3 linked regions of the Oryctolagus cuniculus genome follow. The protein of the gene in region 2 interacts with the protein of the main gene of each other region in a biochemical or structural test. Links are inferred from orthologs where the notes say so. Each region holds a gene or a part of one and is shown on either strand. Other genes may lie near its edges. The genes, in order: SPARC, COL1A1 and THBS1.

Evidence for each region.
Region 1: the proteins of COL1A1 (region 2) and SPARC form a complex in vitro, tested with the Homo sapiens proteins (2 studies listed by BioGRID). The link is inferred for Oryctolagus cuniculus from reciprocal best matches to the Homo sapiens genes COL1A1 and SPARC.
Region 3: the proteins of COL1A1 (region 2) and THBS1 form a complex in vitro, tested with the Homo sapiens proteins (2 studies listed by BioGRID). The link is inferred for Oryctolagus cuniculus from reciprocal best matches to the Homo sapiens genes COL1A1 and THBS1.

What each region holds. Positions count from the first base shown.
Region 1 is NC_091437.1:38,655,256-38,665,731, forward strand, and holds part of SPARC (SPARC), read right to left. Parts: intron 5,531-10,476; coding exon 5,462-5,530; intron 4,245-5,461; coding exon 4,173-4,244; intron 3,627-4,172; coding exon 3,542-3,626; intron 2,193-3,541; coding exon 2,071-2,192; intron 401-2,070; coding exon 280-400; intron 1-279.
Region 2 is NC_091448.1:26,153,311-26,163,786, reverse strand, and holds the start of COL1A1 (collagen alpha-1(I) chain), read left to right. Parts: upstream 1-1,595; 5' UTR 1,596-1,732; coding exon 1,733-1,835; intron 1,836-3,245; coding exon 3,246-3,440; intron 3,441-3,536; coding exon 3,537-3,571; intron 3,572-3,668; coding exon 3,669-3,704; intron 3,705-3,792; coding exon 3,793-3,894; intron 3,895-4,529; coding exon 4,530-4,598; intron 4,599-4,824; coding exon 4,825-4,869; intron 4,870-5,025; coding exon 5,026-5,079; intron 5,080-5,192; coding exon 5,193-5,246; intron 5,247-5,671; coding exon 5,672-5,725; intron 5,726-5,827; coding exon 5,828-5,881; intron 5,882-6,155; coding exon 6,156-6,209; intron 6,210-6,295; coding exon 6,296-6,340; intron 6,341-6,456; coding exon 6,457-6,510; intron 6,511-6,631; coding exon 6,632-6,676; intron 6,677-6,822; coding exon 6,823-6,876; intron 6,877-7,124; coding exon 7,125-7,223; intron 7,224-7,311; coding exon 7,312-7,356; intron 7,357-7,438; coding exon 7,439-7,537; intron 7,538-7,675; and 23 more. UniProt on the Homo sapiens protein: Type I collagen is a member of group I collagen (fibrillar forming collagen).
Region 3 is NC_091443.1:62,646,716-62,657,191, reverse strand, and holds part of THBS1 (thrombospondin-1), read right to left. Parts: intron 10,398-10,476; 5' UTR 10,369-10,397; coding exon 10,302-10,368; intron 10,017-10,301; coding exon 9,457-10,016; intron 8,640-9,456; coding exon 8,564-8,639; intron 8,260-8,563; coding exon 8,057-8,259; intron 7,930-8,056; coding exon 7,807-7,929; intron 6,815-7,806; coding exon 6,721-6,814; intron 5,033-6,720; coding exon 4,859-5,032; intron 4,376-4,858; coding exon 4,199-4,375; intron 3,875-4,198; coding exon 3,701-3,874; intron 3,507-3,700; coding exon 3,379-3,506; intron 3,265-3,378; coding exon 3,112-3,264; intron 2,666-3,111; coding exon 2,447-2,665; intron 1,984-2,446; coding exon 1,876-1,983; intron 1,304-1,875; coding exon 1,144-1,303; intron 990-1,143; coding exon 871-989; intron 118-870; coding exon 1-117. UniProt on the Homo sapiens protein: Adhesive glycoprotein that mediates cell-to-cell and cell-to-matrix interactions.

The sequences.
Region 1 (10,476 bases), on a different chromosome or scaffold from region 2:
TTGCAGCAGGAATGATTCAGGTCAGCCTTCCAGAAGGACTGCCTCATCCGAGAGGTGCGGTTGGAAGCTACTGAGTGCTTCCGCAGTTGCTCAGTCCTTGCCCTGAGAGGAACCTGCCCTCAGACAATCATCTAACTCCATAAATGGGAACTCCAGGAGGCTCTAAAAGGAGAAGAGCTTTACTCAAGGCCACACAACATGGGGTCGGCAGAGCCTGCGCCGGTTCCAGTACAGAGCGCTCTCTGGGACAGGAGTCTGGAAGGGCCCAGGAGCACTCACATTTGCAAGGCCCAATGTAGTCCAGGTGGAGTTTGTGGCCCTTCTTGGTGCCCTCCAGGGTGCACTTTGTGGCAAAGAAGTGGCAGGAGGAGTCGAAGGTCTTGTTGTCATTGCTGCAAACCTGTTGGCAAAGCACAGAGCATCCCCTCCTCATTCCCGAAGCCCGTGGCTGGCTTCCCTGTCCTCGCCCATTTCAGTGTCGGGGACACAAGGGACCAAGAAAGCAGTGTGATTAGCCCAAAGTCACACAGTGAATCAGTGGCGTTGCAACAGGGACCCATTTGGGGGGCTCCCAGGTGTATGTCCAGACCATGCTGAGACTCACGGACGGTCTCCAACAGAGGCACAACTGAGACAGGGCTGAGATATGGGAACCTAGAAGATACTGGAAGGATGAGTGAAAGATGGGGGCCAGGAAAAGACAAGTGTGTGCAAAGAGGAGCAAACAGAGCAGGCTGGGGACTGCTGTCCCTGGAGAGTCTGCTCACAAGGTTGGCCCTTGGCTGGCAGACAGCTGGTTACTTGCACTGTTGGAAAGCGTTCCCCGCCTGACAGGGAGGCTCACTGTGCCCAGACAGCTTGTACGCTGTGGTTTCAATTGGACATCCGCTTTCTTCCCAGGAGTCTGGAATCTTGGTACATGATAAGCACAGGGTGCCTGTGGGACAGACTCCCACTAAACTGCAGGAGCTGTCTCTGATGGGCTTCCCAGGGCAGCAGCATCACTCACATGTGGCTGCCTTTCTGTAGGTAGGGTAAGAATGTGCTCTAAGGGACCCCTCACGGAGGCGCCCGAGCTTTCTCCCTGTGACCTCGCTTCCTATCCTTAATCTGTCACTGTAGCAGGACCGTGGCTGTGAAGTCTTCTGACTCCTCCTGGTACACCTCTGAGCGTGCGAGTAGCCAGACAGAGATGCTGAGGGCTCAGTGGGGGCGGTGGCAGTGAGAGCTGTGTCGGAGGGGAGCCTTAGTGAACATCCTGCATGTAGGCTCTTAGTGTTGTCACATGTCACTGCAGAGGGGCACCTGCTGGGCCTTGGAGACCAATGCGAGGTGTGATAGGGGAGGAGAGATGAGAGGGAGAGATAAAGTATGCTGTCGTAGGGAGAGACAAAGATGGAGAAGCCAGCTAGGGTGTTATGCAAATAGCGCTGGTACCAGATTTACTGCTGTGAGCTACACTGTGGCTGGCAAGAGTGGGTGGTCAAAATCCAGGTGCCAGGAGGGAGTGGAGGATGGATGAATGGGTCCTATTGGAGATAAAATGGATGGACTTGAGAGATTTTTAAACAGCAGCACTTACTGGGTACTTTATATGGAGCAGGCAGTATCTGGCAGATCGCCGTAGGAGCCCTAGTAGTTAACAACTATTTTCATCCCCTCTTTAAACAGGAGAAAACTAAGATCCAAAAAGGTTTAGTAACTGAGCTAAGATCTCACAGCTAACAAGGGATGAGACGAGGTTTGGAGCCAACCTTTGGTCTGACCCACATTTTGGACCCTATGCCTGGTGTAGCTGCACCCAAGTAGAGAGGTTCCCTGTCTCAGTCCTTGTTGGTTGATGGTTTCTGGTCTGAGATTGTGGAGTCTGGCACAGAGATTGCAACCAGATGGTGCCAAGGAAATTCCTGCTGGTTCTTGGCGAGATCCAGTGCCAGGCAGGGCCGTCTCTGACCCTCTCCCCTGCCCAGCTGTGACCAGACCGAATGAGGGGACTTGGGGACTGGCAGCTGCCCGGGTGGACCACCACATCACGGGTTTGTGGGGAGACACTCTGCATTCTGAGCTTACCTTCTCAAACTCGCCCACGGGGGCAGGGCAGCTGGTGGGGTCCTGGCACACGCACATGGGGGTGTTGTTCTCATCCAGCTCACACACCTTGCCGTGTTTGCAGTGGTGGTTCTGGCAGGGGTCTGGCAGGGTGCGAGGGCACAGGATTAGCCGCACGTGGGGCTTGCGTGTTCACCCCAAGCACATCCCAACCGTGCTCTGAGCACATGAAGCTTGGCTGTGGCCCCTGATCCGGGCTTTGGGTGGTCCCGAGTCTGCCCTGCTCTTCCCTGGGCCTAGCACTCGCCATTTAGGGGAGCAGCTGATCCTCTCTGGGAACTGAGTTTCCATCTGAGGTCAAGTCAGGCACCTCTGTGGAGCTGGCGGCTCAGTCTGGGACGCAGAACACCTGGCACCGTGTGACTCCCCGAGGGCTGACGCTGCCACTGTGCTCCCAGCTCAGCTGAACAACCATAGGGAGCCATTTCTGGACTCTAGAATGGGCCTTCTGGGAAGCCTTGGAAAGTTGTCAAGGAGCCAGGAAGCTGTGAGGCCCAACCAGACAGCCTTAAGGGGCCGTAAAGGAAGAGGGAGCAGAGCATGGAGGCGCACACAGACAATGGAGCCCAGCTGTATCTGGTAAACACCGGATGGGGTGGGCGTGGAGGGAAGGAACATGACTCAGCAGACACCCCTCTGCTCCAACTAAAACGCAGTGCCCAGCTGGGTGCAGGCGCCCGCTCATCACCGCCTCGGGATGCGCCTTTCCCCCATCATGCTCACCTCTGGGCATTTTAATCCCCCCGGAGGGGGTGCCTGCTCTGCCCAGCACCAGGCCAGGACCTCTCTGCTTTGTCTTGTCTTGCTGCTGACAGCCCTCGGCAAGACTCTACTCCCCCAGGAAGGGGAGGAAGCTGTAGCTCCGAGGAGCAAGGCAAGCTATCACGGAGAAGCCTAGCTTCGAGCTTCCCAGGCCCACGCCTGGGTGGGAATGCCCCAGAACGGGTGCTGGCGCCTGCCTCTGCCTCTGGCACCAGCTCCCCGGGGAGCAGGCCGTGGGCTCTGCCACTCTTCACTTCCTTGAGGAATAAGCTGTGCGTGAAATGTCCTGATCTCTACCCTCAGACCTGCTGTTTCACAGGGCCTGTGCTGAGAGAGAGGTCGGGGCATCCCGTGCGCAGGAGTGACCAGTGACCTCGGCGGGAAGGTGGACTCCCACTTTGCAATCCGGGCAGAGAGCTGTGAGGGAAGGAGGCCACTTCCAGGAGGGGACCTTCCCTTCCTGCCACTCAGCACGGATGGCCTGGCTACAAATACATGGGCCCCAGCCTCCAGGGCACTGAGTGCCACAGTGGATCCCCAGCCTTTAAATCAAAGCCATTCTCCTCCACAACACACTGGGAACCCCACCCCTCCCTCACTTCCTTGGGCAGGAGCCTCCCAGGGGCTCAGGCCCAGCCCCAGGCAGCCACGCCACAGGAAAAGGACCTACTTTCGGCCACTACTTCCTCTTCGGTTTCCTCAACTTCTTCAAATTCTCCTACCTCCACCTGCACGGGGTTGGCTCCCACAGGTACCTGGGAAGGAGGGAAAAGAATGAATCAAACACTGCCCCACCACAGGCCTGGGAGAAGGAGGTGGAGACCAGAGGGGCACTTGCCTGAACTTCGGGGGTGGTGAAGACCAGCTGGAAAGGTGGGCTGGGCCCAGGGCACAGGGAGCACCCACACCAGGGGTTTAGTCTCATAATGATTATTTGTCAGTGTATTGATACATTCCTAATTAGCCATATCACATGTTTTATAGCGCCCTGGGAGTCCACTGAGTGCCCCAGGGGACACCACGGCTGGATGTCAGAGCACGAAGGGAAGGTAGAAGGTGCAGCCTCCACCCATGGCAGCTGCACCTGAGCAGCTCCCCCTTCATCTGCTTTCCACGTGGGGGACCGTGGGCTCCACGGACGGTCTGGGCCGAGTTCAGGAGTGTGTCTGGATTTGGGGAGTACTCAGCGATCGCTCCTGTGCTGTGTGTGAGCACAGGACGGGAACAGATGCCCCATGGCGGCATGCAGAACCTGCGGTCCCCAGCAGCGCTTCCGAGGGAGCAGATGTGGGCAGACGTACCTCAGCCACCTCGGCCACCTCAGCCACGGTCTCCTCTACCACCTCTGTCTCATCAGGCAGGGCTTCCTGCTGCTGCGAGCAAGAGAAAGTGGGGTTCAGAGGGGTCAGGGCCAAGGCCGGGAACACAGCTGGGGGTGCTCGGAGAGCAGCTCACTGGAGATACCCAAGGCTGTGCCTCAGCAAATGCCTTGGCATGGGGGACGGGGCAAAGGAGAAGTCACGGCAAGTGGGAGCAGCGTGCCCGTTATGTACTTTTCATCCAAGGTGTCTAAGAATTAGCCAGGAAAAGCGCTTCTGATGCTCCGAGTTCCTCTAAGGCAGGAAACACACTGATCCAGACCAGCTCCCCCATTTTACAGATGGGGACCCCGACACCAGAGGGGTCACACACCGTGATGCCCTTACGTTCCCCACCATGTGATCTTACTGTTGGGCAATTCCTTCTTGGATTTCAACTTACAGGAGGAAGGCGGGAGACAACATCTAACGCTGAGGTCCCTGGCTGGCTGGAGCTGCTGCTAAGATGAATGCCTACCTTTGCCAAAACCTACCAATCAGGATCGCCAGTGCCTCCTGCCCTCCCACCTCTGCGGAAGAGAGTCCTGGGTTGACAGACACTGCTCTGTTTGCCTGCCCCCCATTTCTTCCTCCTGCTCTTGACTGAGCTCTGGATAACCTGGACTTCTGCAAAGGACTATGTCAGTCAATGAATGCCCCACCCTCCCCAGGCCAAGAAGCAGGCGGATGACCCAAGTTCAACCAAAATGGCTCTTGCTGACTTTTTAAATTCTCCTTGGCACATTCTGTCAAGATGTGAAAGCTGCCGGAACTGAGGCTTTCCGTTGGCAATGTCTCGGAGACTGTCCGTTGGCTCTGCCACCCAGAGCCGGGGCTGCCCTTTCCAACCCTCCCCAAGCCCTCTGAGCTGTAATCCACCCTGTATCTCTCCCCACACCACCACTCCAGGGAGCATCCTCCCAGCCAGCATCCTTCTTGCCCTCATGGAATTCTGCCTCTGACAATGAGGTCACTTCCTTCAAAAGCCACCCTGGTCCATTTCTAGGAAGCTGCCACTGCTGAGTTCATCTTCACCTACCAGGAGCTCTCTCTTCCCTGGAATCTCCACTTACTGCACTTCATCTCAGTTCTTCTCCTGAACTTGTTGGCTTAAGAAAAATTCTTTTTAAAAAATAAGAACTAATTTGGGGTGGAGAAGTCCTACCCCATCTGAGCACCTGAGGCTGGGGGTAGGAGGTACAACTGAGAAGATCCAGTGCTTCGGTACTTACAGGGGCTGCTAAGGCCCTCCCAGCCAGGCAAACGAGAAAGAAGATCCAGGCCTTCATGGTGCTGGGAACCTGCGGGAGGGAGAGAGAGAGAGAGAGGTCAGCGGGCGGGAGGTTTCCTGACGGCGTTCCCGCTGCACTCCTGTGATCTGCGAGATCCTTTCCGGTGGCATCTGTTACATGGTGGAAAAGACACGGGAGGCAGTTGGTTCCCTTGAACTCCTGTGATCCAGAAAGCCTGAGTTGGGTGCTGAGCAGTCTCCTGACATCTCTCTAACACATCTCTCGCTTTTTTAACAAAGAGAAAGCAGGCCTCTGGCTCAGCGCCTCTGACAGGAAACCGTATCCTGCCAGAATGCAAGGAAGTTGTTTAGTTTCCTCTCTGTTTATTTTTATAGCTTCCTTCTACTTATGACAAAGGTCCAGAGTTTTCCATTTATTGTTATGCTATAAGATCCCCTTTCTCAATGTATTTATTTACATTTTATAGAAGTTAATTAATAATCTGGACTAATTTGTCAAGTTTAGGCCACACCAAACTAGATCATCTTCAAGGGCCCTCGAATGCCTGGTGTTCGAAGATTGTTTTTCCCCCTACACTTCAAGCTCTTCTTCCTCCTCCCTACCCCTTCTGCAATGGGAGAAGCTAATAGGCAGCAACCTCCTGCCAGTGTGACACAACGAGATCCACCTCCTGAAACAAACAGCAGTAGTCTTGCAGTGTGGCCTGTGCACACCTGAGGATGGTCACGTTTTTCTCCAGCAGGGACAACACTTTTCTGGACCCTCTAGGGAAACTGCCCAGATGCTTCCTTCATTATGCTGCAGAAGGGGTGTGTCAGCTGAGGTCTAGAGAACTCCTCTGCCTTGGCCACATGAAAACCTTGTTTCCTGCATGTTGGGCTGTATTCTCTAGACTCTCATGATTATAAGGGGTCTTGGAGCAGACTCTTCTCTGATGCCAAGCCTAAGAGAGAATCTGTGGTGGAGACATTTTCCTTCTTGCACTAACTAAATGGCCTTCCACGTCCAAATGGCTTTAGACAGTTCCTCCCTTATATCCTGTTCCAAATATGCCTCCCTTATACCTGTCCCAGCCAGTCCCATCGCCTCTTCTGTAGTCACACAGAATAAACCTACTCCCTCTGCCTCTTGAGTTGTCCCAAAACTCTCATATCAGGCTCATCATCCCTAGTTGTTCCCAAGATTTCTCAGCTGACCAAGCATGGTGGTGGAAGGTACCCCAGGAAAAAACACTCATGTTCGAATCCAGTGCCAGGGCTTGTTCTACCTCAGTACTGTCTTGCTGTATAAGTCCTTCATCCTGTTGGGAATCTGACTGCCCATCCATCAACCGAGAAAGTTAGACTAGGTAAACTGCGACCTTAAAAATACTCTGGAAATGTCACAGGCACATGCTGGCCTTGGCATTTCACAGTTCCTTGGGTGCTGCCCATCTTCACTTGGGTTATAATATTTAGAGACACAAAATCTTACCCCTCATTTCATGAAGTCTGCATGAAACAAAACTAACAGGAATTTAAAGGAATTGACCTTGGGGTTTGGCACTGCTTCATGATAACCCCAACTCCCAGAGGAGTCCAGTATTCCCTTTCCAGGCAGTTTCTGGAATATTCCTCCCCTACACACAGTTGCTCACTTGTTCCCCCAGACATAAGTGGAAAAAAAATCTTCTTCCTTGCTTCCCCTTTTGGAAGACACAAGTAAAACAGCTCCTGCATGTGGCTTTGGACGAATGCAACAGGAGGGAAAACATCAACAAAGGCCTTGTCTGAGACTAAAGTTGAAAGGTCGAAGTGAGAGTGGCAGCTAGAACAGAGTCACCCCATCTGGGCAGTAATGCCAGCGAGGCCACGTCCTTGGGGGAGAGCCCGGCTAGGAGTGGAGATGTGAAAAGCTTCACAGTTAGACAGCCAAGAGGATTGACAGTTCCTGAGCCCACGTCCCTCACCTGAGCAGACTCCCATTCCCGCCATGACCAGGGAAGGGTTTTGCTGCTTGAGTCTTCCATCTGGCCTGCCTCGCCGTCTTCCTGCTGCACACCCACCCTGTCTGCCATCCCATCCCTGGCTCCAAGTCTGGTATTGCTTCATGGTTTCCAAAGCATTCTCTCATGCACACTGACCCTCTAGAGCTTTCTGACCACACTGGGATGTAGGCAGACAGGCGTGGAAGGGTCCGAGTCCCGCTTCCCTGAGGAGGAGCATTCAGGTCCACCCCAAATGGACAAGCCTCCCTTCTCAAGGACTTGGGGTGAGCCTAACAGGGACGGAGCTCAGACACTGGGGTGTGGTGGGAGAGAAACGCAGAGAGGAAGACCATTAAAAACAGAACACAAGTCCTTGGCCGAGAGTGGTTTTCCAAATTTGGGCAATGTTACATAACAGAACCCTTTCCTCCAGACGAGGGGATGCAGGGAAAGGAAGCAGCTGGGCTAATCTGGATGCACAGCCATCCTCCCTGAGTAACCCATGAGGAACCTCTCCGCGGTTCTCTAAAACACCCCTGACCAAAGAGGCCGGTGTCCATTGTGCAAAGCTTGCACGGTGCGACCACCACTGCAGAGGGCCAGAACAGGGAGGTGCAGCATTCAGACGCAGTAGCTGTGATCCTCCGGAACCAGACGTGCACCAGCGCCTGGATCGAAGTGGCCAGCACTGAATGAGAACCCCCTCCTTTGCAACTTTCTATGACAATGCATATGGTTCCCCTTCCCAGAGTGTGTTCATAGTCAAGCGTCCCATCAGAGCTTCCAGGCATGTCTCTCCACCTAAGAGCGCAGATGAGAAAACTGAGACTTAGACGGAGGTAGGATCTGCCCACAGCTAATAGCCCCAGGGCACAAGTGGCAGGACCGGGGTGAGGCCCCATGGGGCTCCCTCCACCACTGGCAAGTTCTCTATGTCAGCACATGCTATTTTACTATTTCGCTTGGCAGCCACTCCCTCCCGAGGTGGTCACCTGAGTGCAGCCCAGTTGGGCTGTGAACTGCCCAAGGTGTTGGAAGGAAAACTGCTCTGGGCCATGGGAGGAAGAGGAGGTGTATTTCCCTTGGCGGGGTGGCCACCAAACACAGACACCCCTCACCCTTACCCCCACCTCACCACTGCCGCCTCCTGTTCCGTACTTTGAGTCCTTTCCTTTTGCCTTTATTTGCTCTGGAGATGGCTGAAAACCCGTCCCTGGCTGCCAGCAGGACCCGAAGCTGAGGTCACTTCTCTTTCTTTGGAAAGACTGTGGGGATGGAAAAGTACAGCCAGCCCCCAGTTCATCTCCCACAGAACATACAGGGCCGCCTTCGGGCTCGCCCTGGACACTGAAAGCCACCGAATGTCAGAACTGGGGGAAATCTCAGAATTCTATAATTTCAGATTGTGGTTCTTGGAATCACTGATGCTTAGAATGTGAAACACAGAATCTGAGCTGGAATCACTGGCCCTGATGGGAATGAAAGAGTTTACGGAGCAATACAACTCAATAGAACTTTCTGAGCTCATAAAAATACTCTATATCTGCATTGTCTAATATGGCCACTGCTGTCCAGATGTGGTTATGAACACTTGGAGTGTTGCCAATGCAAATGAAGGACTGAATTTTAAGTTGTGGTTCAACTTAATGAATTTAAGTGTTAAATAAATAGCTACATGTGATTAGTGGCTTCCATAGTTCTCAGAGTGTCATAAGCTTTTGCAGAGGTTTGCAGGAAAAAGATAAGCTCATGGGCTCTGGAGCCAGCTTGTATAGGTTCAAATGCCACCTCTACCACTTACCAATTGTGGGACCTTCAGAAACCAACTTTACCTCTCTGGGCCTCAACTGTCTCCTCCTCTGTAAAATGGGAGGAATAGCACACCTACCTTGCAAGGTGATCTATACAAGACAATACAGATAAAAAGGTAACCAATGTTTGGGAGAACTTCTTCAAATCCAGGGGTCCTGGACTCTCCATCCCCCTCAAGAATCCAGGGCAAGAACCCCGGCTCTTTGTCTGTAGGCCTAGGGAGGAAGGAGTGTTGGAGGGGAACAAAGGAGATATTGCTCCTGTTGGTTTAAGAGACGCCAGCACAGCCTCCAGAGGACATGGTGACAAAGGCCAGGCCCCAGGCCAGCCTCTTAGCTGGGCTGCTGACGCAAGCCAAGCAGCTCATTCCCACCATTTGGCTTGGAAACAAGGGTTCCAAAAACACATGTTGGTGGTAAACAAGCCCAAAGAGAGGGAAACAAGTCCGAGGCTAATAAAGGAAGCTGTGAGCCAGGCCCTCCGGGGAGCCGGGCCCCAGGAGGAGGGAGAATGGACTCCAGAGAGGTGGGGGCCAAGCCAGGCCAGTTCTGCTGCTCCAACCTGGGGAGGTCTCTGCTCTCCAGACCTGACCTACGCAGCCCGTCTGTACAAGAGGAGGTTGTTTGAGATGAGTACAGCCCAAAATTATGTAAGCCAGAGAATCCTTTCTTCCAGAAAATTCTTCTCCAGAGGTCCAAAAGTCAAATAGCTGAAACCTTCTAGCATTTGCTGAAACATGTGAAAAGGTTATTGTCCTTTAATCAATAGGCAAGAAGTAAAAAAGCTAAAGCAGGCAATAGGGAGTGGAGTTGGGGGCTGAGGGCTCACACACTCTGATGCCCCCCTGGGACACCTGGGTGCATCTCTAGGTTCTTCCAGGAACACAGATTGAACCTCTTGGCCAAGGTGCTCCCTACGCCCCCTTTCGGCTCTGACGCTTTCAGTCACCTCTGCCGACTGGAGCAGCACCCGTCCCAACTTAGCCTTTGACTTCCTGATCCTGCTTCTAAAGTTCTTGCTGGAAGGGAAGAGGCCAAGGAAAATGTTTAGGGTGTCATGGGTGCTAAACCCTGGGAATGGAGAGTTTCTGGGGCAGCTCAGAGGTGGCTCTGGGGTTCGCAGCTGGAATCAGCCGGACTGAGTCCATCATCACGTCTAAGATGCCACGTTTCACTGTGGCTAACGGAGGCTTGGGTGCGGCCTCACGTTTCCTCCT
Region 2 (10,476 bases):
TCCTTTGCCTTCGTTGCACAAAACCAGCTGGGGGAGGGCGTGGAGAGGGGCGGGGGGAGGCAATGGAATCTTGGATGGTTTGGGGGAGGCGGGACTCCCCGCTTCCACGTTTGCAGCTCGGCAGCACTGGGGGTGGGGGAGCCGAAGGGGCGGGAGAGGAGCTGCTGTGCACTGCGGGAAGCCCCCAGAGCCTTGTCTCGGACCCAAAGACTATGGTGGGACCAGGGCCCCGGACAGATGGAGGCTGATGTAGGGTACTGCTGGGGCCTGGGACACCAGCTCTGGGACACCAGCTCTGGGAGGCATCTGCCCCAGACGGAGCCCCTGCCCCAGATATGGTCTTTTAGGGGTCAGATGGTTCTCTCCTCACTTCAGGGCCAGAGCATAAGACCAGGATTTTCACAAAAGAGGTGAGGTGGTAGAAACAGCCTCAACCTCCCCTGTCATCCCATCCCTAGCCCCAAAGCAAGTCTCTCCCAGGACACCCCAAGTTTCCCCACACACACCAACCCTGAGTTGAGTTCAGGGACAAGCAGGGACGGAAGGGGCTTTGTGCAGCTCCCTCTCCGGCCAGGTGTCTCCCACCCAAGTTCCCTCTGGTTTGTGCTAAGCGGGAGGGTCTCCAGCCAGCCTGGACCACAGCCAGGACAGAGCCCCTTTCCCAAGTCACCAGTGATATCAGGCCTTCTACAAACTCAGGGACCAACTCTGAGGGACAGGTGGCTGCACCCCCCACTCCGTCCACACCTCTGAGCCCCGGCACTCCCTGGTGTGCACCCTGCGCTGCCCAGCCTGCACCCAAGCTTCCATCTGGAGCAATAACAATGTCAGGTGTCAGACCCTGGGCCTCAGCCTCCCCAGCCCACCGTCCTCGGCCATGCCTGATGCGTGTGTGTCGTGGGGGAGCACTTGAATCTCTTCTGGAACCTCAGGCATAGCAGAAGAGTGGGCACCCTCAAAACAAAACGCCCTGGCTGTCACCCCTATCCCAAGGATCACATTTGCAATGTCTATCAAGCTCTGGACAGTCGCCCCCACTTCCTAACCGGCAAGCTTCAGCCCCACCAAAAGACACCCCAAACAGGCACATCCTTTAAATGCCTAGAGCCTCGAACTTTGGAGAAGGTCCCCAGCTGCCCCCTCCCAGACCCACTCCTTAGATCTCGCCTACGCCAGCACAGGCTGAAGGGGACAAGGCCAGGAGGACCCTCTCCCAGTCCCCCAACCCCTTCCACCTTTGGAATGGGGGCCATCCAGCCCCCCAGTTCTACCTCCTCCAGATCGGAGGTCCCAGAAAGAGTACAGGACACCCCCTATCCACTCTGGAGCCCACACTCTACAGAACACCCAGCCGCACCCGGAGACAGTTCCTCTGGCCCAGGCTGGGCTGGGGGGCTGGGGCCGCGGAGCTGCGAGAGGGGGAGATGTGGGGTGGACTCCCTTCCCTGCCCTGCCCTCCTCCTCCCCCTCTCCGTTCCAACTCCCAAATTGGGGGCCGGGCCAGGCGGCTCTGATTGGCTGGGGGCCGGGCGGCCGGCTCCCCCTCTCCGATGGGCAGGGTTCCTCCCCGGGCTCCCTCAGGACGGTATAAAAGGGGCCCGGGCCAGGCGTCGGAGCAGACGGGAGTCTCTCCTCGGGGCCGGAGCAGGAGGCACGCGGAGTGAGGCCACGCATGAGCGGACGCTAACCCCCCACCCCAGCCGCAAAGAGTCTACATGTCTAGGGTCTAGACATGTTCAGCTTTGTGGACCTCCGGCTCCTGCTCCTCTTAGCGGCCACCGCCCTCCTGACGCACGGCCAGGAGGAAGGCCAAGTTGAGGGCCAAAGCGAAGACAGTAAGTCCCCAACTCCTGGGAGTCCCCGGCTTCGTGGACTCTCGCCCTGCGCTTGGTCCCGGAGGCTGCGGCTTAAACGCAGAGTCAGATGCTCCGGAGACGGGTCGATGGGGAGGGCGCTGGCGCCCTCGGCGCCCCGGGAGAGTGGGATTCACCCTGGGGTGGGGGTGGCAACGAATGTCTGCCCGGGAGCGGGAGGCAAGGATGGAGCGCGCCGGGCGCCGGCGCGGGAGGAAGTCCCGAGCGCGCCCCGCGGAGGGCTGAGGGGACAGCTGCGATCTAGGCGCGGGGCGAGGGACAAGCACGTCGAAGAAGGGCTGGGGGCTCCGCGCTGGGCACTTGGAGCCCGCGCCGTGGAAGCGGTCAGGAGGGCTGTGGGATGATTCATAAGGAAAGATTGTTTGTCCTCGCTGCAGGCGAGACCGTGTTCCTGGGGCCGCGGGGGAGGGGCCGCAGAGAGGGGGCGGGTCGGTGGCCGGGAAACTTGGGCGCGGACTTGGCAGGCGGGGTCCTGGCGCCCCTCACTGGTCGACGCCGAGCACTGGCGCGCCCCGTGCTGTGCTTCTCCGGCCGAGAGCCGGAGCGCCGAGACCTGGGTTGCTGTCGGGCGAGGACCCCACCTCTGTATCTGGACAGCAAAGCCGTGGATGGGTAGCCCTCGAAAAGAAGGGGCCTGTCCTGGGAAATCGGCCCCGCCCGGTCCCCATTGCTTGGTGTTGCCCGCCACCTGGTGGCCGTCTGGGTAGATGCTAGCGCGGTGGGCGTGGCTAACTAGTTTCATACTGTTTGCGGACTTTTGGGTTACTCGGCAAAGAAGTGATCCAGAGAGGCCCCGGCTGGCTTTAGGGGACTAGGCTAGCCCTGAGAGCTGACTCTTAAGAAGTCCGGGCGCTGACGGTTAGGGCGTATGCTATTTGAGGGACGCGGTTCAAGCCTCTGGGCGGGACCCGTCTCCAATAAGCCCCTCCCCGCTCTCCTAGCCCCTCCCACTCCGCCCCACCTGCCCCGGGAACGGGGGCGTGGTGGGGGCTGGGCCTCCCTCGTCTCCTCCCCACATCCCTTTTGGTCTCCACGTCCCCCCTGGCTGGGCCCCTCCCTTTCTCCGCCTTCCCGCCCCCCACGGCTTTGTGCGTCCCTGGGCTTCCGCGCCAATGGGCTGAGGCTGGGATTGGAAGCATCCCCGGCCCTAAGCTTTGTTTAAATTCCTGAGAACTGGAAAGAGTTACGGCCGCCCTGGCCCGGCGCCCCGGCGCTGTCACCGGCGCTGACGAGGAGCAGACGAGCAGTGAAGGATTTGGGGGAAGGGGGAGGGGGAGGCGGGACGTGGAAAGTGCGAGTGTGCTTCCAAGAGGGAACGGCCGGCCAGCCGAGGGTCTACGGCCGCTGACGCCCCTCCCCGCCCTGCCCCAGTCCCGCCAGTCACATGCGTGCAGAACGGCGTCCGGTACAGTGAAGGCGAAATATGGAAACCGCAGACCTGCCAGATCTGCGTGTGCCACAAGGGCGACGTCTTGTGCGATGACGTGATCTGTGAAGACACCAAGGACTGTCCCGGCGCGAAAGTGCTCCCCGGCGAGTGCTGCCCTGTCTGCCCCGAAGACGCGGGTACGGACGGGGCCCGGGGCTGGGGGCGGGGGCGGGGGCGGGGGCGGGGGCGCCGCAGGCAGAGCCGGCCTCTAACCCGCTCCTCTTCTCCCCTAGGAGCACCCACGGACCAGGAAACCACAGGAGTCGAGGTAAGCCTCTGCCCCCCGACTTTCGCCATCCCGCCCGTGACTCTTTGCTCCGCTCCCTTCTCTAACCTGCACCCGTGTCCCTTCTCCAACTCTATAGGGACCCAAGGGAGACACTGGCCCCCGAGGCCCACGGGTAAGTGCCGTCCTCCCTCGGCGGTGGGGCTGCAGGTGGGCGTGGCTCCCGGCCGTCGCTCACTCTGGCCCCGCCCTCGCCCCTGCAGGGACCCGCAGGCCCCCCTGGCCGCGATGGCATCCCTGGACAGCCCGGACTTCCCGGCCCCCCCGGCCCCCCTGGACCTCCCGGACCCCCCGGCCTCGGAGGAGTAAGTGCAGAATGGAAACACTGCATGTCCCTGTCCCCGCGTTGTTCCGTTGCTTTGGTGACATGACCACATTCTGGAATAGCCCCCAACTTAGAGAAAAGGTGCAAGAAAAGCGCCCAAAGCTTGCATATCCCCCGCACAGTCCCTCCATTTGCTGAACTGAGTCAGGTTTAGCTACCATTCACTTTGTGCTGAGCGGCTGGAGAGTGAGATGCTGATCCCACACTTCAGGTGTGTTTCCTGAGAGAGGAGCATTCCCTTACATGACCAGAGCACAGTGATTGAAACTGGGACATTGAATGCCATCAGCCAACAAACCAGTCCACATCCAACTTGCACCAATGTCCACGTAATGTCCCTTGTAGCTTTGATTTTTCCCTGATGCAGGATCCAATCCCAGGTCAGGAGTTGCCTTTCATTTGCCGTGTTGGTGTGGCGTCCATGAGTGTTCCTGGCCCTTGGGGACACTCAGAGCGTTTGAAGAGTCTGCACTGGTGCAGTCGCGCAGTCCGAGATGTCTGACCAGCTGCGTGTGGGGCAGGAAAGCACGGCTGTCCGTGTGTGCTGCTCTTGGCGATGTTTTCCGCCTCCCGATTTCTCATGCTCTCTCTGTCTCTCTCTCTCGTTTTTTCCAGAACTTTGCTCCCCAGATGTCTTACGGCTATGATGAGAAATCCGCTGGAGTCTCGGTGCCTGGCCCCATGGTGAGCCACCAGGGGGAGCACAGATGACAGAAGAGGAGCAGGCGGGGATCCAGAGGGGCTGGGCGGGTGTTGGCATGCGCCCCCCACTCACACCCCAGGGGGCGGCATAGACCAGCCGTGGGGCCCGGTGGTGCCCGCGGGAGTCAGTGGGAGCCGGCGAGGCTCCGCCCACGCTGCGTTTCCCTGCAGACTCGTGCCATGCCCCCCCTTTCTTTTCCCTCTGCAGGGTCCCTCTGGTCCTCGAGGACTTCCTGGCCCACCTGGCTCACCTGTAAGTATCCAGGAGGGCTTCATATACACCGTGGGCTCTGGGCTTCTGGGAGGAGGACTGGGATGAGGGCCAGGACCGCGCTCAGAGAGCTCTCGCTGAGACAGGGAAGCTAAGCAGTGACCTGCCCTTCTAACCCGCTCCTCTTTCCTTCTCCAGGGTCCCCAAGGTTTCCAAGGCCCCCCTGGCGAGCCTGGCGAGCCTGGAGCTTCTGTAAGCATCCCCGATGTGGATTCCCCGTCCTGTGGGAGGACCCCACGCACGCACTGGGGGTCTCCCTCCCTGCCTCTGAGGATCCTGACTGCCTTTCCTCCTCCCTCCTCTAGGGTCCCATGGGTCCCCGCGGTCCCCCTGGCGCCCCTGGCAAGAACGGAGATGACGTAAGTAGCACCGTGAGGAGGTACCGTCTGGCCCCATGGCCTCCACTGGCTGGGTCCCATAATCTCCACCCCAGAGCCCACACCACCTTTGCAGGTGACACCCAGAGGCAGGAGGGCATGTTCTCCCTGAAGCAAGGGGCTGCCCTTGAGCCCTTAGCGGATGACTTTCCCCACCCCCGGCCCAGGTTAAGCCTCAGGTGCACCTTAACTGCACCTGGTATGTAGATGGTGAGGCTAAAATGCTGGTGACGGACATGAGCAGTAGGTGCTTTGCGGGGTCTCAGATTTTGCACACGAGGCTTCCCTGGCAGATTGAACTTGAGCTCTAGACTCCAAGATAAGGTCTGGACCCATACACCTGACCTTCCTCCCCCTCTTCCCGACCTGAGATGCATGGCCCTGATGGCTTTTCCTCTCCCTCTCAGGGAGAAGCTGGAAAGCCCGGTCGTCCTGGCGAGCGTGGGCCTCCTGGGCCTCAGGTAAGCAGCGGCTGCAGCCACACTGGGTCTGCGTTAGGGAGCTGCATCCACAGTGGTCAGGCCTAACGTCCCTTCCTCCGCCTCCTTTTCTCCTCTCTCCAGGGTGCTCGGGGCTTGCCCGGAACAGCTGGCCTCCCTGGAATGAAAGGACACAGAGTAAGTTTCCTGTGAGGCATCTTCTACGCTCCCTAAGTCCCTTGCATCCATGGATCCAGCGCCTTCCCCAAGGGGTCCTGCTGTGAGACACAGTGGGCATCCAAAAGAGCTCCCCTCCACGAAAATGAAGGCCCAGAAAGGGACTGGCTGAGAACTTGTTCCCACGGGGTCTGGTCCACTGGAGATGGGCAGATGGGTGGGCAGGTTCAGGGTGGTCCCCAACCCCCCCCCCAACATCTGCAGAGTCTCATCTTGTCCCTCCTGCCTACTTTAGGGTTTCAGTGGTTTGGATGGTGCCAAGGGAGATGCTGGCCCTGCTGGTCCCAAGGTAAGGGTCTGTCCGAAGGTCACGGTCCCCCTCCCCTCCACAGCCCCACTGTGAATGAGTTCCTCACTCTGTTCTCTGTTCTGTAGGGTGAGCCTGGTAGCCCTGGTGAAAACGGAGCTCCTGGTCAGATGGTGAGTGAGCCAGCTTCTAAAGGGAAGGGAGCGAGCAGGTGCGGGGGGAGATGGAGGTGTGGGAGTCGGAATGGTGGTTTCCCGTCTCATTTGGTTTCTGTTGACTTGGTTTCCAGGGCCCCCGTGGTCTGCCTGGCGAGAGAGGCCGCCCTGGAGCCCCTGGCCCTGCTGTGAGTACTCCTGACCCCTGGCGGGTTGGGGGTGTCCCTGGGCTCTTGGAAAGACTTCCTCGGGAGCTGCAGGGACTGGTCTTCGCTCAGTGCATGTAACTGGGTCCCCTTCTTCTTGCAGGGTGCTCGTGGAAACGATGGTGCTACTGGTGCTGCCGGCCCCCCTGTGAGTATGGCCCCTTGACCTCAGTGGTGGGCGCAGGGTCACAGGGTCAGCTCTTGGTTGCTCTGAACCCCAGGATGTCCTCCGTCCCAGGGTGTAACTTGCAGCTGCCAGCTTCCTTCCTGCTAACATCTCCCTTTCATTCTCAGGGTCCCACTGGTCCCGCTGGTCCCCCTGGCTTCCCTGGAGCTGTCGGTGCTAAGGTGAGACCTTTGTCCTCCCCAGAGCATGACTGTCACAGGCCAAGGCGTCTCCCTGCTCCCCAAACCAGAGGGCTCCAGAGTGGCAGGAGGCAGAAAGCCATTCTGCAGCACCTTTGTCCCGGGGAGGCCAGCAGGTGCTTCTCTGATCTCAGAGTCCCTGCTCCTCGGCCTCCTGCCCTTGTGCCCGCCTGCCCACAGGTGAGACTGATCCCAGGCTGCCTCCTGACGTGTCTTTTCTTCTGCCCCAGGGTGAAGCTGGTCCCCAAGGAGCCCGAGGCTCTGAAGGTCCCCAGGGTGTGCGTGGTGAGCCCGGCCCCCCTGGCCCTGCTGGTGCTGCTGGCCCTGCTGTGAGTGTCTCCTCCCCAGAGGCCCCTGGGCCACTCCCCAACCTTGTGGATCCTTGTGGGTCCTCACTCTCCTTTCTCTGTGCCACAGGGAAACCCTGGTGCTGATGGACAACCTGGTGCTAAAGGTGCCAATGTGAGTATCCTACTGGGTGCGCCCATTCCCACCTGTCCCAGCCCTCTACTCCTGGGCTCCATGTCTGTTCTGCCTCCCACAGGGCGCTCCTGGTATTGCTGGTGCTCCTGGCTTCCCTGGTGCCCGAGGCCCCTCTGGACCCCAGGGCCCCAGCGGCCCCCCTGGTCCCAAGGGTAACAGTGTAAGTGCCAGCTTCTCACCTGTGCCCACCCCACCCGCGCCCATGCACCGGCTCCAGTGCAGCCCTGTCTGCTGGGTAGATGGTGACAACTGAGCGCCCTCCACCCTCCCCTCATCTCCTTCTCCTCTTCCCTTGCAGGGTGAACCTGGTGCCCCCGGCAACAAAGGAGACACTGGTGCCAAGGGAGAGCCCGTGAGTGCCTGCCTGCCTTGGGTGCTCTGGAGAGGGGCTCAGGGGCTGGCACCAGGGCGTCCCCTCACCAAGGCTGCCCCCTGCCTTCTGCCCACTCCAGGGCCCCACTGGTGTTCAAGGACCCCCTGGCCCTGCTGGCGAGGAAGGAAAGCGAGGAGCCCGAGGTGAACCCGGACCTACTGGCCTGCCCGGACCCCCTGGCGAGCGTGTATGTGCCCCACCCCGTATCGTCCCCAACCCCACCACCGCCTCCTTGCCCACCCCAGTGCCTGTCTGGGTCCGTTAGCTCACGGCCTGCTCTCCCCTCTGCAGGGTGGACCTGGCAGCCGTGGCTTCCCAGGTGCAGATGGCGTGGCTGGCCCCAAGGTAACCTGTGCTCCCTCGCTGGTCACCCCCCACCCCGCCACAGGCACAAGCGCTCCTGCGCGTGAGTGCAGCTGCAGGTGTTGGTGCCTCTTTCCCTTCCACTGGGCCTCACCTCTGCTATGCCTCCCACCCCGAAGCCCACCCAAGCCAGCGCCCACAGCCTTCCTTGTGTAAGGAGGAAGAGGCGCTGGCCATGGTCGCAATGCCCGCACTCAAGCCCCTCGTTTTCCTGTGACTTTTCCCAACCCAGGGTCCCGCTGGTGAACGTGGTGCTCCTGGCCCTGCTGGCCCCAAAGGCTCTCCTGGTGAAGCTGGTCGCCCCGGTGAAGCCGGCCTGCCTGGTGCCAAGGTGGGCCCCCAGCTCTGCCGCCCAACTTGGCCAGGCACCCCCTGGCCTGTTGGGGCATGGGTCTGGGATGAGGCTTTCTGGAGCAGGCCATGGGTCTGCTCCTGGGGCTACCCCCCACCATCCCCTTCTCCCCCTACTCACACTTCTGTTTTTCCCCCACACCCAGGGTCTCACTGGAAGCCCTGGCAGCCCTGGTCCTGATGGCAAAACTGGCCCCCCTGTAAGTATCCCTCCCCGTGAGCCCTCTCCCACCTTCCCGTCTGCCACCCCTGTCCCCATCTGACTTTGTGCCTCCCATCTTCAGGGTCCCGCTGGTCAAGACGGTCGCCCCGGACCCCCAGGCCCCCCTGGTGCCCGTGGTCAGGCTGGTGTGATGGGATTCCCTGGACCCAAAGGTGCCGCTGTGAGTATTGAGTAGGGAGCAACTCGGGGCTTGGGACAAGCACGCCTGGCCGGTGAGAGTCCCAGGCTCTGGCCCAGCCCTGCTGCTGACTTGCTGTGTGGCCTCACACTGCTCACTGCCCCTTCCTGGGCCTTGAGCACCTTATCAGTAAAATAAAGGACTTCCGGCTTCCCAGCCATTGCTCTGTGCCTGGAACTAAGTTTTGTGGGTGCCCCCGGCCCCACTCCCCAAATCTTGGAGGGTTTATTGAGGTTCAAAGAAGGCACCAATGGAGGAGAAACCCTTGGCAGCTGAGGCCACAGTGCGCACGGAGCAGGGGGAAGGGAGGAGGGAGGGTGGAGGGAGCAGGGCTTGCAAGGCCTCTGTGATTGTGGGGAGGGGCTGAGGGCCTCAGGCCTAAACTGCATGTGCACAGCCAACAGCCACCCGACTTTGGAGAAGGAGGTCCCTTTTAGAAACTCCTCCTCAGAGCAAGTAGGAGGCACCTGTGGGGCCTTCCGGTCTCCCTTCAGCCTCCTCAGCCTGCCCGCCCTTTCCTCCCCAGGGAGAGCCCGGCAAAGCTGGAGAGAGAGGCGTTCCTGGACCCCCTGGCGCTGTGGTAAGCAGCCCCTTCCTACCCCGCGCCCCTTCCTCCAGCTGCCCACTGGGCCTGCCACCCTGAGCACTCCCTTCCTGCCTCCCCACAGGGTCCTGCTGGCAAAGACGGAGAAGCTGGAGCTCAGGGACCCCCTGGACCTGCTGTAAGTGGCCCTGCCTGGGAGGCCTGAGGCGGCGCCCCCTGTCCCCTGCCCCGTCCGCCTTTCTGTGACCACAGCTGTCTCTCTGTGACAGGGCCCCGCTGGAGAGAGAGGTGAACAAGGCCCTGCTGGCTCCCCTGGATTCCAGGTGAGGCGGCAGTCAGGGAGCTGGGGGCTGGAGAAGGCGGGGACACCACTTTGTCCTCTCCAGATTCTGAAGCCCCTCCTCTTTCTCCCCCCACTGCTCACTTGCAGGGTCTCCCTGGCCCCGCTGGTCCTCCTGGGGAAGCAGGCAAACCTGGCGAACAGGTAAGAGGGAGCCGTTGGCCGAAAGGGTGTGTGGGCAAGGAAGGGAATGCAGAGGGCCAGGCACCTGCTGCAAGCTATTCAGACACTGTTGGGATGAAGGTTAGACACGGGGAGGGACTTCCTCGGAAAGGGAAACAGGAAGTGTCACGATGTGACCTGGGGTTGCAGAGCTGCCCGTCTGGGTGACTTTGAGGAGCTATAGGACGCTGTGGCTCCCCCTCCCCCTGGCCTGGGGAGGACAGCTCTCAGTGCAGAGTCGGAAGGAGTGGAAGGGCTGCGGGGCTGATTGTGCAAGGGCCAGCCCCAGAAGCAGGGACAAGAATCCATCCTGTGCCTAGGGCTCACTCTTTGGTCTTCCCTCTCCTTCAGGGTGTTCCTGGAGACCTTGGTGCCCCCGGCCCCTCTGGAGCACGAGTAAGTAGACGCTGTGCCCCTGCTCCCAGCCAGATGCCCTGTGGCTGTCTCTGAGCCTGGAGCAGCCGTCACGCCCTGACTTTCCCTTCTAGGGCGAGAGAGGCTTCCCTGGTGAGCGTGGCGTGCAAGGTCCTCCTGGTCCCGCTGGCCCCCGCGGATCCAACGGTGC
Region 3 (10,476 bases), on a different chromosome or scaffold from region 2:
AGCCTGGTTGGCATTGGGCACATAGGGACAGTTGTCCAAATTGTTCTGGTGGCCATCTTCATCAATATCCTGATTGTTGTCACAGGTGTCTCCAATGCGATCCGAGTCAGAGTCCAGCTGAGAAAGAGACATACATGGAGAGTAAGCCACCGTATCAATCAGCAGTGACAACGAGAACATCAATGCCCCCACAACAGGGAAAATCCCCCATGTCTCATCTGGCCAGTGGGGTGTTATAGAAATACTTTTCCAGAAAGCAATGTTAGTGATTACATTTTGAAAGTTTTTTTTTTCCCCTTGATCCTTGGTTTTACATGAAAATCTCAGAAGGGATATTTGAGTTTTTTTAAAACTATATATTCTCTGGGTATAATCTGGTAATACCAGATGCTGTGGAAGAATAACAAAGAAATGGGGTTTCCCAGGTTTTGGAACCTCTTCTAGTCTGACGACTTTCTCACAGCCAGATTATATAGTTAGCCATGGACATGGTTATGGGTTGTTTTCTTCAAGGTGAAATTATAAAACGTATGTGAAGAATATACTTAAAACACTCTTAGTCTCAGACATGATTAGTAGTATGATAGAATTATCAGTCTCAGATCTCTGTTTTAGCTAACTTATCTCAACAATGGTAGGTCACAGCAAATCAAGTGGACTGTCTGAGAAGTCGGAGAAGATCTGTACATTAAAGATACATGAGACTCTGTAAGATGGTCACATCAGACAAACTGTGTACATGAACTTGGTGCAGCTGGCTTTGAGGACACCATGATGAAAGTTTTTAGACTCCATTAAACTCACTTTGTGAAGACCTAGCTAGTGAAGTTTGCAGACCTGACTGAAAGACTCTAATAGGAATCCACCTACCTGATCGGGATTGTGTTCCAGGGGGCAGTTGTCACACTGATCTCCAACCCCATCCATGTCAGTGTCCCTCTGGTCCACATTGTAGACATACTGGCAGTTGTCTCGTTCATTGAGTATACCTGCAAGGAACAGGGGACAAATCAGAGCTGGTATCTCCAGCCTTGGTTGTTTCAGCCATACCACATCATACTGGCCAGGCCTAGGGAGAAGTGAGCTGAAATCTGTGGGTGCTTCCCACTGCCCAGGGGTCTGCTAGGCTAGGCAGTGCCTTACCATCCCCATCAATGTCTGCAGCACAGGCATCTCCTTCCCCGTTGTTGTCTGTGTCTGCCTGGTCTGGATTGTGGTTGTAGGGGCAGTTGTCACAGCGGTCACCCACATCATCTCGGTCATAGTCATACTGGGCTGGGTTGTAATGGAACGGACAGTTGTCCTACAGAAAGAAGAAAGGGAGCACTTTAGCACGCTGCTGTGGAACCAGCTCAGGGTTCAGACCACATGCACAGTATGCAGAGAACTGCAAAAAAATTTGCAGTGATTATTTTCTACTTGGTGGATGTATTGAGTACTCCGTGTAAAACGATCACCATACAAGTTAAAAGCCAGGACATAATGAATGGAAAATGGTTTCTATTGGCTACAAATCAATTAAGAGGTAACATGTCATCTCATTATCTCAGGTCTCCAGATGCCCAAAGTGAACTTGACTGTAACTGAGACATGACTGTTAAATCTGGGGATCAAAGGGTCACTGGTGACTCATTCTAATTTCTCTCAAAGGGGGGAAAATTTTGTGATGGATAACAAAACCCTCCTTTAAAAATTCTCCTGGCAACATTTATGTCTCCTCAAGCTACTAAACTACAATAAATAATTTCTAATTATCCTATGTATCAACTTGGCATAATTCTTCCTATAATTCCATAAGTTCCTTGAATCCTGAAATATTTCACATTGTTGCAAAGTTGAAGAGAAGCAACGGGATGGCACATATTTTGTTTTTACCCTATCATCTGGGATTTTGTCATTGTCATCGTCATCATCACAGGCATCTCCGATTCCATCCTTGTCATAGTCTTCCTGCCCCGAGTTGGGGAGGTTGGGGCAGTTATCCTAGGAAAGAGAAGATGCACATTACAGCTGTAGATTGTAGTTTCTCTGCTCAGCTCATGGATCATGCATGGGGTGGGACGGAGCACTGGGACATTCTGAACCAAAAAAGAACGGACTGCTGTTCTGTGACGGCAACCAGATGCCTTCTTGGGGGTTGCACATACAGAATGCGTATACATGCTCTAGGCTTTACACATGCTGTGAACACAAGGCATGATCTCATGGAACTTGGTAGGGGAGTGAGCCTTCTTTTGGACCAAAGAATCATCATGCACCACAACATGCCAACACAGCCTGCCCTGTTTGTGTTCTTGGCACCAAAGGACTCAACATTTGTGGATTACTGTCCTCTTCCTTTGGAAAATTTCATCTTTCAGTTTCGTTTTTGAGTTGTTAGCATTTAAAAGTCCCTGGCATACTCTGCTGCTACAGGTGATAGGCACACGTAGGAAGATGGCTGTACCTTTTTGCAGTGGTAAGTTGCGTTGGCCACACACACCAGGTTCTCATTAGGCCAGCCATCGAGGTCTGTGTCCTCCCCACAGATGATGCCATTGCCAGCATAGCCAGGCTTGCACTCACACCGGTACATGGGGTCACTGTAGTGGCCCAGGTAGTTACACTTGGCATTCTTGTTGCAGTCATGTGTCCCATCTGTGCAGGGGTTGCGTGGTTTGCACACCTGAGGATATACCATCCTGATGTTAACACAGAGCCTTCCAAAGTTCCCAGACAACACAGAAACAAGTAACATCAAGATCCTGGTTGGCTCCCTGTCAGAGGCTGCAACTGGAGGAGTGTGGATTAATTCCCCATTCTGCCCGCAAGGACGACCAGGCTACAAACAAGCTTTGCTGTACATTTATGTTTCTTGAAATTGCTTAGCACTTTGGCATTTACAGGTTCATTTACTTACAACTTATTCCAGAGCAGCATTTTAAAATGTGACTACTTTTCCCCTGCAGGAGTTACTATAGGTTTTCTAGTCATGCTTCTGAAACTAGACTGTACATTTCTTCCTCTCCTCTCTCTTAGTGCAGGGTATAAAATGACAGTCCTCCCTCTCCTAGTTGTTTCAGTCAAGGACAGCTCTTCTCTACTCTGGAGTACCAGCCTAGCCAACTGTACCTGTTTGTGGGCCATGGCATGTTCAACACCCCTTCCGAAAGGCTGCGTGCCAGTGTAGCGTGGAGGGCAGGGCAGGCAGTTGTAGCCAGGGTCTGTGTTCTTACACCTGTGCTCCCCGTTGTGGTTGAAGCAGGCGTCAGGCACTTCTTTGCACTGTGGAGTAGATGAAAGTTTGCTTAATGTTTAGAAAATGCAACCATAAGGACACGGCTAGGACAGGTTCACTGCTGTCCTGGGTCTCCTAACTCAGAGCCATCAGTTCCTCACCTCATCGACATCTTTGCACTGGATGCCATTGCCACTATACCCAGGGGGACAAGCACCGCATTTCCAGCTGCCGTCAGGGTAGCTAGTACACTTGACACCGGCAAAGCAGGGATTGGACAGACATCCATCTGAGACGAGATGAGAGAGACAGGTTAATGGTTGGTCTGGGCTGCTGTTCCTGCCATGCTGGGCACTTCAAAAGGCACCCAGTGTTAAGATACTGTAGGGTGTCTGTAGCTAAAAGGGTCATAAATGCGGGCTGTGGCGTTCAGTAAAGCAGGAAGCTCCTAGGGGGATCTTTGCGCTGGGCTGCATGGCTCACCGATTGGACAGTCCTGCTTGTTGCAGATCTGGTTTTCTGTCACATCACCAACGCAGTCCTTGCCTCCAAACTGGGGCACGGGGTTGTTGCAGAGCCGGCTTCGTTTCTGCACCCCTCCTCCACAGGTGACAGAACAGATGTCCCATGGAGACCAAGGACCCCAGCCGCCATTGACTGTAAGAAAATGAGTTCCATGTAAAAATTAAGGTCGCTGTTCAAATCTGTCACCGTCATACGAGACTCTCCTAAGCTTATTCAAGAAATCGCTGCTTCCCTGACATGGGAGAGATTATCTGGGAGGAGGGCTAGTTTGAAATAGTCTCCTCTCTGCTTTTCATTAAAAGAAGCTGCTGAGCACTGCAGGTCTTTTCTTCTGTTTGTTTATCTAGTAAGTAACCTTCCCTCTCCATGACCCACTGAACTGGAGGCTGCAGATGCCAGGCAACCAGCTGGGCAGAGCTGCCGCCCACACTGCCCTGCGGCTGAGCTCACACTTACTGGGGCAGGCATCTTTCTTGCAGGCCTTGGTCTCCCGAGCTTCGCCTTCACATGGTTTCCCATTCATCTGGGGGCTGGGAGAGTTGCAGAGCCGGATCCTTGTGATCACACCATCTCCACATGTCACAGAACAGGATGACCACGGGGACCAGTGGCTCCAGCCGCCGTCCTGTTTAACTGAAGTACAAAGCGGATGGTCACTGATGGTATTGGTTTGGTAGCCAAATAGAGGTCTGTCTCGGGATCATACAGAAATATTTCCAATGGCAACTGCACCATGTGTAGCAGAAATTGGCTCTTGGCCATGTGTCCTAACGCCAGCATGGAATGTCAGAAGTACATGTAATATTTTAGCTGTCTTTATGGGTTGTTATTAATAATGCAGTATTTACCAGGTGTTAACCATGAACAAAGTTCCATGTTGAGTGCTTTATAGGTGTCATCTAAATAAAAAGCTCAAAATAACCTTATCAAGAACTTACTGTCCCCAAGTTCCAGATAAGGAAAGTCACAGAGAGGGCAAGTTGTGCTCAAAGGTGCACAGTATGTGGGAGAAGGGATTCGGGGTCAGAGATTCTAGAACCTGCTGCAGAGCTGCTGTGAGTGGTGACAATAAGGACAGGTCAGTTCTCTGTATCTCTAAGAGGTCAAGATGCTTACATCTCTTGTCACATTCCTGGATGTGGCAGGTCCGCGTCTGGACCGAGGAGCCCTCGCATCGGTTGTTGAGGCTGTCACAGGAGCGGCCACGCTGCTGAATTCCATTGCCACATGTCACAGAGCAAGAGGTCCACTCAGACCACGGAGACCAGCCATCATCTGCTGAGTCACTGGCTGCAGGGAGAACAGGCCGTTCAGTACATAGTGATGAAGGCAAGCTATTCTTTAGATGGCTCTGCTCACAGCCCTTCACTTGCTAGAGAGTAAAAAGCAATACATTTCTCTTCAAGGTCTACTGAGGTATAACGGACAACAATCATATAAAGTTAAGGTGTACAACTGGTGCTGTGGTCTGCATCTGCCTTTTGAATATCACTGTCAAGCTAGTAGTTAATAAACTTATCTATGACTCCATAAAGTTACCTTCTTTCTTTTCCTTTTTCTCTTGGTAATGATTTCAGATCTAGTCTCTTGGCAAATGTCAAGTACATAATACAATATTATTACATGCTGTAGATGAGATCTGCAGAACTTAGTATCAAAGGTTACAAAGTTTTGGTTACCCCAGGTGGCTGTGTGTATAGCACTGGGGGTGACAGGATGTGTTGCCTGGGTCTGTACAGCTGAGCCTTCTCCCAGCCTCTGCTTGCCTATTCATTGCTTCCTCCTTTCTCCTTTCTCATTTCAAATGAATTTCCTATTGCTGACTTAAGATATGTGGACAGGCATTTCCAGGCTTAGGCTTCCAAGAATGCTCGAGTTTTAGGCATGTGGAGCTTTAGCTGTTTCTGATTGTCAGGGAAGCTGTGGACCATGTGCTTGACAGATGAGCCTGAAGGCGGCTTAGCTGCTGTCAGCTCTGGCTCCAACTCGGTCATGAGGTTAGTCAGTTTGGTGTTCCTCTCATCCCAGCATCTGGGGGTATTTTCTGCACATATTTGCATGAAAGGAGAATGTGTTTGTTTACCATCTGCCTGAGCACCATGACTACAATCACATCTAGCTGTATCAGACACGACAGAGAGCTTGTTTTCTTTTGCCATCAGTTGGAAATTTTCCTAGCAACCTCCGATTCAAGTTCAGAACTCTGCTAGCCTCCAGCAGCTTTGTTCCCTTGAAAAACACCCTTCAAGTGAATGTTGACCAGAAACTGATATACAAGTGGTCAGTCCAGTGCCAATACTGATTAGTCCAAGCCATGGCCAGTGTGTACAGGGGTGTGTGTATGTGTGTGGGTGTGTGTATGAAGGGCAAATACTACTTTCCTGCTTTCTTATCGTAGTTGTGATGACTCATGTCTATGATCTGTACCTAAACACTGTCTAAGGAAAGCAGTTAATGTATACTGGCAACCAAAAACCAAGGAGAGGGGGCCTGGAACAACACAGGGCCTTAGCACTCAAACTGACACTATTCTCTTAGTTCTCCTCTGTCAACGAGAATTTTCAGGCTCAATTCAGTCTAACACTCATACCATAAGCCTATTGATTTCTTTGGTAAGCAGATTTTTCTTAACTCTGTACCTCCTCTAAGAAAAAATGCTAAAAACAGCCAACTTAGGGCTATGGAGGTGGCATATTCATCTCCTTTCCTCAAAGCATAAAATCAGAGCCAACAGCCATTCCGAGATTCTTACTGCCTATACTATAATCCAGATGGGTGATAATATTTAGTCATAAATGAAGATTTTGGTGCCGCACAGCAGATAAGCTATCAGTTAACCAGCTGCTGCAGCAAGAAACAGAATAAACACATATGAGGGCGATGAGGGTGAGGTCCAATGTTGTGCTCTGCTGTCCAGGATGTATTACGACTGACCTAGTCGCTGGCTAAAGAGGGCTTATGCCATTTGGGGAACTTACGCCAACACCGCGGGCAGCATTCTCCATCAGGAACTGTGGCATTGGAGCAGGGCATAATGGGGCAGGACACCTTTTTGCAGATGGTGACTGAGTTCTACAAAGCAACAGAGTGACAGAGAAATGGATTACCTCGCATGTTGCAAACCCAAGTTCACGCAGTGTCACATTTCCATGATAAGCCAGAACGTGGTCATGGCTGTAAATGCTCTCGTGGAATGGTTTTGATAGAAGATCTGTGTAGCAGAGGTCCCGACTCTCAGGGAGACAGTTGCAGTGCTAGTTATTTGTCATTTAATTCCTTGGAGAGCCCTTTTTAACTGCTACTCAAAGGTAGAAGTTACAGCATGAAGAACTTCTATAAGCAGAACCAATAAATATCGTTCTCAAACTCGTGTTTGAAACTGAGCTGACAAAACTCAGCCAGAACTTTGAAATGGTTAAGTTTGCTTTTTTGTAGGGGGAAAAAAAAGACCTATAAGCACATCTCTCCCCCGTTTTTTTTTTTTTTGCATTTATAAATCTGGATTTATCGTATTGGAAGAGAATGGAAATGTAATGAAGTTGGCTTCCAAATTCAGTCATCTGTGATTTGTATTAAAGCCTGACTTTGCTCCATGAGCCAGGAAAACCTCCTTGCTCCTCTGCCAGTGGTGTGGGGGTAGCAGGCAATGCAATCCGAGCTAAGAATACAGGGGCATCCTAACAATATGGGGCTAAGTGACTCCAGCAACAACCGGTACTGTGGTGAAAGAACCTCTGTGCCACAGCTGAATACCAGTCGGGGGGAGGGGACGAAGAAGGAACGTCCCAACCAGGCTTTAATCACCCGACATTCAACACTTAGCCTTTGAACTGAAGCAGGTAAATGATTCAGATGTCTCAGCAGATTTTTTTTTTCCCTGAAATACTTAGCCTGGGGTATAATTAGGACTTGGACAAACCTTCTGCGAGTCTAAATGAGAATTTGGTACCTGGTTTGGGAACATGAAAAGAATTATGTGGTCGTCTGAGTATTTGCCCAGGGACTGCAGCTTCAAACACGTGGTGGCGAGCCTTGGTTTATGTTAGTGTGTGAAGAGCCCTCACCTGACAGCGACACTCAGTGCAGCTGTCCACGGTCCATTCCTCGTTATTCCTGTACTGGACCCCATTGTGATAGCAGAGGGGAGGCTTCCTCAGCTCATTGGCCAGCTCTTTGTTCTCTTCAGTCTGAAAGGAGGAGACAGATCGTTAGTGTCTAGGTTTATGTTCCATCGCTAGGCGTCCTCTGTGCTAAGGCCTCCAGGGCTCGTGTGAACAGGCTGAGGGGTGGGTGGGGAGGCTACAGGCCACTGACCACTTTGCGAATGCTGTCCTGCAGCGTGGTCACGATGGTGCGCAGGCCCCTGAGTTCCAGGAATATGTTGGACAGCTCATCACAGGAGATGCCACAGATGGCCTGCAGGTCCTTTGTCTTGTGGCCAATGTAGTTAGTGCGGATGGCAGGGCTGGACCCGTTCACCACATTGTTGTCAAGGGTGAGAAGGACATTGGTGGATGCTGGGAAGCGAACACACAAAATGAACAAGGCAATAAGATAGCTTCAAATGGATGATCTTACCAGCCAGCCCTCCCAGTTCTTGGTTGTAAATGCCATTTATTTCATGTGGAGGGAGGGAGACAGGTGGAGGACATGCATGTGTGTGCAAATGCCCACTGAGGTCACTTCACCTCTTAACTGGGTTCTCTGGGGAGAATTCATGCACAATCACCTATGCTTAAATTTCTGTTTGTTTTTGGTGGGATTCCCACTCCCACCTGCCCTGATTTCCCCCATATGCCTTAAAGAGAGAGGGGTACTCACCACTGGAGCAGCCTTTGTTCCTGAGGATGTCTTCTGGTGTGGTTCCAAAGACAAACCGCACATTCTGCAGTGCCCCCTGTGGGCAGAAGACACACATTACATATACAGTGTGGAGACCGGGGCTCTATGGGAAGGCTGTGCTAAGAGAAGCACACAACAGATCATTCACAAAGCTTCAAAGGGTCCTGTTTTAAGATCACTCTATCAAAATAACACACCAACATAAATTGCCAAACAACTTCAAAATCTTAATTGTGCCTCCTGCCAAGTCTTCAGTATTTGACAAGGAATTCAGTTATCTGCCTACTTGGGTACACAGGAAATGGAATCTGATACAAAGCCTGGAGGATACAATGACACTATCCAGTGTCAAAGAGTTAAATGTGGGAGTTCAAAGCCAGAGTCACAAACATAGGGGCTAAGGCCAGGAAGAAGCTGCAGCAGCAAATAACCACAATTTTAACCTCTCGACTGAGACCGGCTCAAACCCCTACAAAGAATCCAAGAGCAAAGCGATTATTGATTCTGCCGTGCAAGCCCCTCGTGAAGCAGTATTAAAAGTGGTGGGACACATTCGAGGTTAGTCTTCTTGAGAGCCTAAGGAGTGCCTGTGGCTTGAACAGGCTGTCACAGCAAAATCATGGGCTTCCCTGGGGAGTTTTTGACCCGTGGCTCCTCGACTACCATCTCAGCCTCAGCATTATCTGGCACTTGTTAGAAATGCAACTTCTCAGACCCATTCCAGTGCACTGAACTGGGGACTCTGGGAGTGGGGTACAGCAGCCCTCCGGGGAAGGTGATGCTTCTAGAATGGGAACTGCGGCTTTGGTCTCCCGACAGGTCAGCAGGCTAGCAGACGGCCCCAGGACCAGGGCGCAGAGAAGCGGCCTCACCTGGAAGTTGTCATTAACGCCTCCCTTGGCGATGCGGAGCCTGGCCACGTTGGCCAGGTCCCTGGTGAAGATGCTCTGGATGGGGACGTCCAGCTCAGCATTCTCCATCTTCTCGCAGTCGATGTACAGCTGGGCCCTGTCTTCCTGCACAAACAGGGTGATGCTCTTCCAGTGGCCGGTCGCCAGCAGAGCTTCCTCCACCGACACCACATGCTGCTTCCCCTGCACGGTCAGGCTCAGGTCCAGGGTGCCCGCCTTGCCGTTGGAGACCACGCTGAAGACCTGGCCAGAGTGGTCTTTCCGCTCCAAAGCCAGCAGCGTGCCCCGGGTCTTCTTCATCTGCCTCAGGGAGGCCAGGAAGAGGAAACCTTTCTCTGCGCGCACAGCATCCACTAGGTCCTGGAACTTGTCGTCAGGCACCGGGGGGATCAGGTTGGCATCTTCGATGCGGTAAGCAGGGCTGGAAGGGTCAGGACCCTTCACGAGCCGGCGCCCAGAGCCCTTGCGGGCAGCCCCGGTGAGTTCAAAGATGTCAAACACGCTGTTGTCTCCCCCAGATTCTGCCGGACAGGAAAGGACAACAGTGAGTTTTCTAGGCTAGGGCTGGGGCTGGGGCTGGGGCTGGGGCTGGGGCTGGGGCTGGGGCTGGGGCTGGGGCTGGGGGAGGGAGCTGAGCCCTGGCAGCCGGCCCACAGGCACGGGCAGCCACTGAAAGAGCTGACTGGACACCGCGATCAGAGCAAGGCTGCATCTTGATACTCAGCTGGGGCTCAGGGGAGAGACGGCTGGGAGGGAGAGCCAGTGCCTTCTCCTTCCACCTGCCCTGAGGTGTCGCACAGACTCACCTGGAATGTGGTTGCTGCCACACACCTGCAGCAGGAACAGGACACTGAGTCCCCAGGCCAGCCCCATGGTGGAGCTGTCTGTGCCCAGCAGGGAGCCTGCAGCAAGAAGCGCAAGAGCACAGGGTCAGAGACAGCGAAGACTGGGGGCTAGTAGGGGGCCAGAGCCCCGCAGCCC